2 linked regions of the Neurospora crassa OR74A genome follow. The protein of the gene in region 1 interacts with the protein of each later gene in a pairwise test. Links are inferred from orthologs where the notes say so. Each region holds a gene or a part of one and is shown on either strand. Other genes may lie near its edges. The genes, in order: NCU09808 and NCU07724.

Evidence for each region.
Region 2: the proteins of NCU09808 (region 1) and NCU07724 interact in a two-hybrid assay, tested with the Saccharomyces cerevisiae proteins (9 studies listed by BioGRID). The link is inferred for Neurospora crassa OR74A from reciprocal best matches to the Saccharomyces cerevisiae genes DNM1 and MDV1.

What each region holds. Positions count from the first base shown.
Region 1 is NC_026501.1:4,118,272-4,122,725, forward strand, and holds the start of NCU09808 (dynamin-1), read right to left. Parts: upstream 3,081-4,454; 5' UTR 2,048-3,080; coding exon 1,949-2,047; intron 1,821-1,948; coding exon 1,434-1,820; intron 1,370-1,433; coding exon 1-1,369. Other genes in the region: NCU09809 (mitochondrial copper ion transporter), read left to right, coding at 3,868-3,917, 3,988-4,022, 4,087-4,201, 4,267-4,384. UniProt on the Saccharomyces cerevisiae protein: Microtubule-associated force-producing protein that participates mitochondrial fission. Fission of mitochondria occurs in many cell types and constitutes an important step in mitochondria morphology, which is balanced between fusion and fission.
Region 2 is NC_026504.1:2,079,401-2,083,742, forward strand, and holds NCU07724 (mitochondrial division protein 1), read left to right. Parts: upstream 1-1,288; 5' UTR 1,289-1,656; coding exon 1,657-1,731; intron 1,732-1,871; coding exon 1,872-2,475; intron 2,476-2,527; coding exon 2,528-3,534; intron 3,535-3,603; coding exon 3,604-3,879; 3' UTR 3,880-4,191; downstream 4,192-4,342. Other genes in the region: NCU07725 (chorismate mutase), read right to left, coding at 1-492, 575-645. UniProt on the Saccharomyces cerevisiae protein: Involved in mitochondrial fission. Has a partially redundant function to CAF4 in acting as an adapter protein, binding to FIS1 on the mitochondrial outer membrane and recruiting the dynamin-like GTPase DNM1 to form mitochondrial fission complexes.

The sequences.
Region 1 (4,454 bases):
CTCCGTTGAAGCGAGAAGGAGAATTCGATCTGGCTCCGTTCAAAGCGCTTGCAATGCTGCCGGGGCCGTTCTCCCGGACAGCCGGAGACATGCTGCGGGCACCCTTTCCAGCGGTTTTGCGCACGTGGACGTTGTCCGTCTTCTCCAGGGTAGTACTTTCTTCTTCCCCTTCAATAGGGGTCTCGGTGGCATTCGTGCCAAGCTCCTTCAGCCGTCTCCGTTCACGTCTTTCGCGCTCCTCTTGAATCAGACGTTTCCTCTCTCTCTCCTGCTTATTGCTCACAACGTGGCTCATTGCTGCAGCCGCACCGAGGAAGTTGGGGTGGTTAGTGTTGATGTAAGCCCTCTGGATGGAAATTAGCGACTCGACATAGTTGGACGCGGGACCCAACCGTTCCCTAAGCAAGTCAGAAACAACTTCGATGAGCTTGGCTTGCAGCCTGGGAAACCTCGATAGCTCAGTCGAGCCACAAGTGTGGCAGATCTTGATGAGCTCCTCATATACCAACTCTACGCAGCGCTGACTGGGTGGCTCAAGAAGCTTGATCTGGGGCTTGACAAGGAGATCGAAGGCCATCTCAGGCACAAACAAACTAGGCCGGGGACCAGTCGAGTTGCGAATCGCGGTCCGGATATCGAGCGCGGTTAAATTGGAAGTGGGGTCGATCGATTCCAGAGAGCTTCCAAAGACCGAGTTGAAAATGTAGTAGATGCGAGCACCGCCGCAGAGCTCTTTTGTCGAGATTTCCGTTGAGGTACCGTCAATGGACGCGATGAAAGATGACGCAAACCTGGTCATGAGCTGCAGAATAAGAGAACCTCGGTGCTCCTTGCCACTGAAGTGCATGTCCCCGTAGCTTGCCAGTTCCTGCTGGGTTTGACCCATCAAGGTATTAAGACGAGCCTTGATGTCTGGCAAGCGTTCGCGAATGTGAGCCATCAAGGTGGTGTTGAGGGTCCTGGCGAGGAACTGAGTTCCGCAACGGGTGGAGATGTTTCGATACGCGGGATGATGCCTGAAGAACTCGGACTCGGACTTCAAGGCCTCTTCCATGGGCTTGTTGCCCTGAATATCCTGCTGCGATCTGTTTACCACGCCAATCCAACCAAGCTTGAGCGGGTAGACCCGACCAGACAGTATGTCCAGGGCATTTGTTCCGTGATCCATGAGATCGACTTTTGTGAGAACACCAATGGTCCTCCTACCCATGGGATCGACATGCCTGGCAAGCTTCAAGGCCTCCGAGTTCACAATGTCGACGTTAGCAGGCGAGACAGCCAAGACAATACTGTTGGGCTTTGCAATGTACTCGGAGATGAGGTTGCGCGTCTGCTTCTCTATGTCTGTAGGCTGGTCTCCAATGGGAACCTGCACGGATATACGTTAGACCAAGTTATGACGGCATGTTCACCAGAGCTTCAAAGCGGCGTACCTTTGTGAGACCAGGCAAATCAACGAGCGTTAGGTTCAAAACGTGGGGAGAGAAAATCTTTAGGTTGATGGGCTGGCGGTTAATTCCCTTGTTGGTACCCGCAACTCGCGCGGTCTCATTCTCGATTTCGCGCTTGACGTCGCCAAAATCGGTGAACCTCCGATTGGGAATGTGGTGAAACTCTGCCCACTCGTTGCGGCCAGCAGCATTGGGGTTCCTGTAGCTGGGATGGGTTGCATCTTCGGCGTCGTCGTCGGCGGGGACGTTTATTAGCTGAAGAATGAGGGGTCTCCGAGTAACGATTCCACTGCCGCGGGGAAGAAAGTCGCGACCGACAATGTTCTCGAGGACGGACGACTTTCCAGCGGACTGGGATCCAACGACAACCTGTGATGGAGAGCAGGGGTCGTCAGCAGTCTGGTGGCGGAAAAGGAAGGGGAAAGAAGGACGATGGGGCAAGGAGCGGTTGCGGGCATGGAGCGGACAGGTGAAGGTGGTGGGCGGGTATTGCGTACGATTTGGGGCAGATCCAGGGAATCGTTGCCGATGGTGTTGAAGACCAAGTCTTGCAACTTGTTGACAACGCCCAGCAGATCGTCACCGAGGGCAGCCATGATGACGGTTGAGCGGGGGGAAAAAGCCGAGAAAATCAGTCGCGTTTAGAAAGCGCAAACGCAAGCGGTAAGGTGGGCGGAAGCGGGAGTTGAGCGCAAGACGGAAGTGTGAAAACGGGCCCGAGGTCGGGCAGGACGAGGTCACGATTCGGGCGGTCGCACGGGACCGGGTGGGTGTATGGGGGCAAGTGGGCTCCCGGGTTTATCTGAGGGTCGATGGTCTCGTCGATTCACAAAATGGGTAAATACAAGACGAGTGCTAGGTGGTGGTTGGCGGCTGTGCGGGCGGGTGGCAGGAGAAGAGGCTGGCGACAGAAACCGAGTCGGGCAGGTGGTTTGGATCAATCGGATCGGCTTCAGGACAGGAAAAGAGTTTACAACCGAAACTTGTGTTGCCTGTTGCTGGCTGACTGGCGGGACAAGGCACGAGGCGATCAATGATCTATCCAAGTGCAGCCAATACGTACAACGAGTTCAAGGCAGCACACAGACAGCTCGAAACCTGAAGCGATGAGGGATGCCCTCAGTAGTTGTCGCGGCGCCTCGATGGTGAGTGTGGATGTGGATGCGGACGTCGATGTGGATGCCAAAAATCTATAACCCGGGGAGGGGGGGCGCGCTTCCAGAATCCAAAGCGTTGCAAACACCCATTCACTCGACACAGTGAGGGAGAGGGAGGGGTCGGTCCATGGTCCCCTCGGGTCAAATTCCACGTCCCCACTTTCACTTGGTCGTCAAAAGTTTAAAACCTCGCTCAAAGGGGGCAGTTCCCTTGATGCGTTGTCGTCGCGCCTGCACCCGGGCAAATCGAACCCGACCCGGCCTGATGAACAGGTTTCCAGGCCTTCATGCAACCGGCACGTTGACCTGTGTACCCGACAACACACCGGGGTCTGTGACTGGCTCTCGGCGGCTCAAAGAAGAGTTCAGAATTTGAAGCTCAACTGCCACGGCTCCACAGACAAGCACCTCTTATGTACATTGTCCACTACACCACTACACTATAGGTATAGAGGTTGAAATTCGACAGCGGGGACGGCGGAAGGCGGGATGGCGGGGATGAGCAGGCATTACACGGTGCGTCATCTGGCTTGTCCGTTGATCCGAAGTTCTTGGCTCCCGGCCGGGCTGCGGACCGCGGGCTCAGACAACGGTGGACGGAGGGCGGAGGGAGAGACGGGACCTTCGGAGGTCGTCCACTCAGCACATGTCGCTGGCCTGCCGATCTGAACATCGGAGTCTGTTTCCGGGATGCATGCAGAAAGTCCTTGAGGTTTATACCGGTAGTTCCCCATGGACATCAAGCCGACTTCGTTCGTACCGTAGCTCCATGGTCCCGAGCGTATCTCTGTCCACGATCCACTATCCACCCTAGGTACCTACCTACGCAGTACCTAGTAATCTGTAACCTCCCGTGCTGCCACCTTCCGGTAAAACCGAACCCGGGGACCTCATAATGCCCTTGGCCTTCCCATTCAGCGCTTGCTCAACTGCACTAACAAAGCTTACCCCGTGGGCAGGCATTTCATGAGCCTGCTACGTTAGGGTCCAGGTAGCTGAGACCGTGCTGGAATGCCGATTTCCAGGAGCACTTCATCCGCATTCAAGACTCCAGCGGGCAGTTGCACACCTCGAATCCCCAGCTGCGAACGCCCTGCAAGAGGAGGAAAACCACAGAGGGGGGAACCCAAAACTTGGTAAAAGCTAGAGGTACCTCTACCTAAGCTAAACAAAAACCAAAATACCCTGCCCTGCCCTGGTTTCGTTTGACTACCTCTACCAACTTTGCGGCAGTTCATCACCGTCACCGGCTTTGCAATATGAGTACCTTTGGAAGTCCCGGTGCCTTGCCAACAACAAAACCCACGCCGTAAGTCCACGAGCCCAGAATGCAATGTTCTACCCTGAAGGCTTGTCCAACTGACCAACAACACCTCAAGGCCCCAGAGAGGCAGCTTTCCCCTGGATCATGACGGTAAGGCTCAGCACCAATGCATGTATACACTGGTCTCAGCTCTCACGCATACTTTGCCCTCCAGGAGAATGCAAACACGTCATGACAACCTACCTTGCCTGCATCAAGAGGGTCAAGGGAGTCAACGAAGATGAGTGTCGATCGCTGGCAAAGGCCTATCTCGCATGCCGCATGGAACGGTGGGTGGCAGCTACAACTCCCTGAATGTCTCTGTCTGGTCCCGCGCTAACCATGCGATATTCAGCAACTTGATGGCCAAAGATGATTTCAAAAACCTAGGCTTCAAGGAAGACGAACCATCAAGTACGCCCAAGCCGGCCGCTGAGGCTGAAAAGGGCGTGAAGGGAGAGTTACGGTGGTGAGAGGCTTGAGTTGTAACCAGCGTTGCTTGATGACATGTATGGGGGAAAAGGAAAAAAAAAAAAAAAAAAA
Region 2 (4,342 bases), on another chromosome or scaffold:
CCGGCCTGGATGTACTTTGTGAACTTTTCCGTCTCAGACTGGAACTTGGATTCGGCGACAAATTTGCCAAAGTGAATGCGCCGGGAGATGGCCTGCAGGCAGGCGATATCGCAGGTAGCAGAGGAACCGTAGTTCTCCTTGTTGACACCACGATCCTCACGGCCAAAGTCGGGGCACACGCTGGGAAGGAACTTTTGCGTATAGAACTCTTTGATCTGATCGTTCACATTGACGTTGTTGGGGTGGAGGATCTGGGGGTAGTCGATCGACTCGAGGATGGGCTTCTGCACGGCGTCGGGGAAGAAAGGGTATTCGTCGGGTGACTCGTAGCGACGCATGAGGGACTGGAGACGCTCCTGCTGCCACAAGTACCAGTCCATCAAGCTGAGGTCGGTGTCGGGGAGCGGGACGGCGCCAGGGATGTAAATGTTCTTATTGAGGGGGAATTGAACACGCTCGATCAAATGGAATATGATGGTGTCCTCTAGACGGCTGTTCGACACACGTATCAGTTGGCATAGGTTCCAGGATTGTCGAGGTGATCGTTCAGTGCTTGAGCTCTCTCTTGACTCACATTAGCTGGTAGCGAATGCGCGAAAGATCAAGCGCCTTGTCGACGTCAGACAGTTCGATGATAGCGTCCATCTTGAAAGCCGAGGTGTCGCGGTAGGTGCAATAACGGCTTGGAATAGAGATTTGGGTTATATGTGCAAGTAAGATATCAATTGACAAAGAAGACAAGAGGCAGTTGTTGTGTACAGTGAGCGTTGAGTCCCTCCTGAGGACCCTCAACCGGCAGAGTTGGGACCAAACAATCGCAACTTCGATATCGGACAACAATCAGATTCCCACGTTGCAACGGCCCTGTTAAAATTTAGGTTGTTCATTTGTACATTGGTACATATGACGCACCAATACTGCGGATCCGGTACCCCACTGGCCCTCCAGCGGCTTTCTTGGCAGACACCGGATCCCTGCTCTCGTTACACCCCCTTCTGAACGGAGGCCGAGCCTGAATTGGCGCGTCGCTTGCGTGCGGGGAACCAGGGCCAGGGGGGTGAGGGGAAGAAATGGGAATTGAGGGGGCGCGCTATCGGCTGGCCGGGAAATCCACCTCCCCGCCAACATGCTGCGACCAGCCTGCTGCCAGCCGCAGAGACCGACCACCGAGGGCCCAGTGTGTTTAGAGGGTACCTTTCAAACTATGTGTCCCAGAGACGTGTGGTGGTAGCTGTTAACAGACTAGCTAAAGTGATTCCTGCCACGGTGCTTCACCAGGTTCACACATCAAATTTGTGCCGCATCCACGCGCGCGAACTTGGAGCGAGGTACCTTACCTGATCAACCTCTACAACATCGGGCCATCCGCAGCTGCTGCAATTGATTCAGCCTGCCGTGGTTACATGTTGCTGCCGCGGACTCTGACATTGACAACATCGCTTCGGCATCGCTACCACTAGCCGCAGCTGCGCTCGATTCCCGGCCGTGCGATTTGGCAGCGATAGTAGCGCCCGCAGGATTTTTCTCGCGTCGTCGTCCAAGTGTCCTGCTTCTATTCGACCTCTTTGCGCTTTAGTAGTTCGTCGGGCGGCAACAACCTCTTGGGCATTTCTTTGAACCTTTTTCGATTGGGTAGCAGCCTCCCGGTGCCAACGGATGGCCAACTCCGATCAGAACCGTGATGTGTTCCCGGACGATGTGTCGATTGATGACGATACCTCCGTAATCTCTGTGAGCTCTCCTCACCTTCGTCTCCCGCACTCTGTTCACCACCATGATGACACCCTTCTGCCTCTCCTGAGTCCTTTCCGCATTGCGCTTGGCGCAGCCCAAGAACCACAAACTAATGCAAGATGGGTGAACTGCAACAGACTCGGGGTCTCGAGGCCTTCGGTCGCAAAGTGACGACAACAGCAAGTCACTTGATCGGCCCCATCACCGACCCGACCTCTCATCCTCACTACCAGACCGCCATGACCGAGATACACAAGCAGCTCCAGAAGCCCACGCTTCAACGGGGCGTCTTCGCTATAGCGCGTACGACGCCCACCGATTTAGTGCGCTCCAAGCTGTCGTCAAAGGAAATTCAATCTCGAGCACTGGCCTACGTGCCCGATGAGCTTCTCAGAAACATCCCTGCCAGCTCCAACTCATACTCGTTATTCCAGGGCTTTCAGGCCAGTTTTCCCGACTTTACCGATGATGGAAAGAAGCACAAGCGACGGGTGTCTCGGGGGAGGAAGATGCTCGATGAGAGCCCTGTGCAACCAGGAAGCCCGCACGCGGTACAGAGGTTAAAAAAAGATAAGGCGTCAATGATGCACCAACTTGAAATGCTTGGTGTTCGGAAAAATATGGCTAGCAGCGAGATCCGTGAGATTGATAACAAAATCGCCAATCTGCACGGCATGCGCAAGATCATCCTCGACAGGCTCGCTAATCTTGAAAAAGAGGAGGCAGTATTAGAGCATGACAGTAAGTGTTTATGCGCTTAATCTTGGGACCTCCTACTAACCGCAACTGGCAGTCATGGATGTTGAGAGCAGGCTAGACGAAGCTCAAGAACTTGCTGATGAGGCGGAATCGTTGGCGATGGCGACACCGAACAAGTCTGAGGAGGATCTATCAAGAACTGAAGAAGGATTCATGTCGCAATCCATCTACGAGAAATTACCAGCAGCCAACACTCCTCCTGGAAAAAAGAAGCCTCGCAACCATCGCAAGAAGACACTCCCGATTCTCCACGAACATTTCGAGCCAGGCACGATGATTCGCTCGATGCGCGCGCACCAGGATAACATCACGGCTCTCGACTTCGATGCTCCCTTTGGTCTCATGGTTTCGGCTGCAATGGATGACTCGGTTCGTGTGTGGGACTTGAACGCCGGGCGCTGCATCGGTACTCTTGAAGGTCACACGGCATCTGTACGCACTCTTCAAATTGAAGATAACTTCTTGGCTACTGGCTCTATGGATGCGACAATCAAGCTGTGGGACCTGAGCAAGGCCCACTACGACCCTCAGGGTAGCCAGGAGGTTGATGAGGAGGACGAGGACCTTGCGTTTGTCAACCCGAACGATCACGCAGTCGATCCGCCTGCCGGAAGCATGGCTGATTGCCCTCTTTTCACTCTCGAGGCCCATCTCGACGAGATTACGGCCTTGCATTTCAGGGGAGATGTGCTCGTTTCTGGCTCCGCCGATAAGACGCTTCGTCAGTGGGATCTTACAAAGGGTCGTTGCGTGCAGACATTGGACGTGATGTGGGCCGCCGCCCAAGCCACCGCAATGGGCAGCAGTGACGGTCCCTGGAGACAGACCAGCCGCTCTGCCGACGGATCCGCAGACTTCGTTGGTGCCCTGCAGGTCTTCGAGTCTGCTCTGGCTTGCGGTACTGCTGACGGTATGGTTAGACTCTGGGATCTTAGAAGTGGACAGGTGCACCGTAGCCTGGTTGGACATACCGGCCCGGTTACTTGCCTCCAGTTTGATGATGTTCATCTCGTCACTGGCAGCTTGGACAGAAGCATTCGTGTAAGCAACTTCCTCATTCTGCCATAACACTACGAAACCGAGTGGCACTGACACTGCTCCTTATCACAGATTTGGGATCTTCGCACTGGATCAATCTTCGACGCTTACGCATATGATCACCCTATCACCAGCATGATGTTTGACACCCGCCGGATTGTTTGTGCTGCTGGTGAGGATGTGGTTAAGGTGTACGATAAGGTTGAGGGACGGCATTGGGACTGTGGCGCCGGCATCACTGAGGCTGAGAAGGCCAAGTCCCCTGCAATCGTCGAACGCGTGCGCATCAGGGACGGCTACATGGTCGAAGGCCGTCAAGACGGTGTCGTCGGCGTCTGGACATGCTAAAGGCGACATGGTCCGCCGGGGGGGGGGGGTTGCATTGCTTGTACAAATACGACATCATACGACACGACTTACACTGGATTGGAGAAAAAGGGGCGGCCACGTATATTGGTGTTCATGAGTTTATGAAGAGGACTCGTCTAGCGACAAAATGAAGTCATTGTTAGGGTTGGCTGGATACCTTGGGTCTGTACGAGTGTAGGTTCGCAATGGAACTATACAGCAGTTACATGTATCTCTCATCTGTGCAAAACTGAGCCCCTGGCGACAGTTGAGTGATGTATCGCCAACAGAGCCAACCTAAAGCATTGACCCCATTGAAAGAATAGGTGAACGCGCCTGGACGCAAGTGGGGATCATCTCGAATGCGGAAGTCATGAAATCATCGGAGCAGTGTCCGAAGAGGGGTAAAGGTGCTTCTGGTCTACCCTGGCCTCGCCCTTGCTTCCGGTCGTTGAACTCCCTC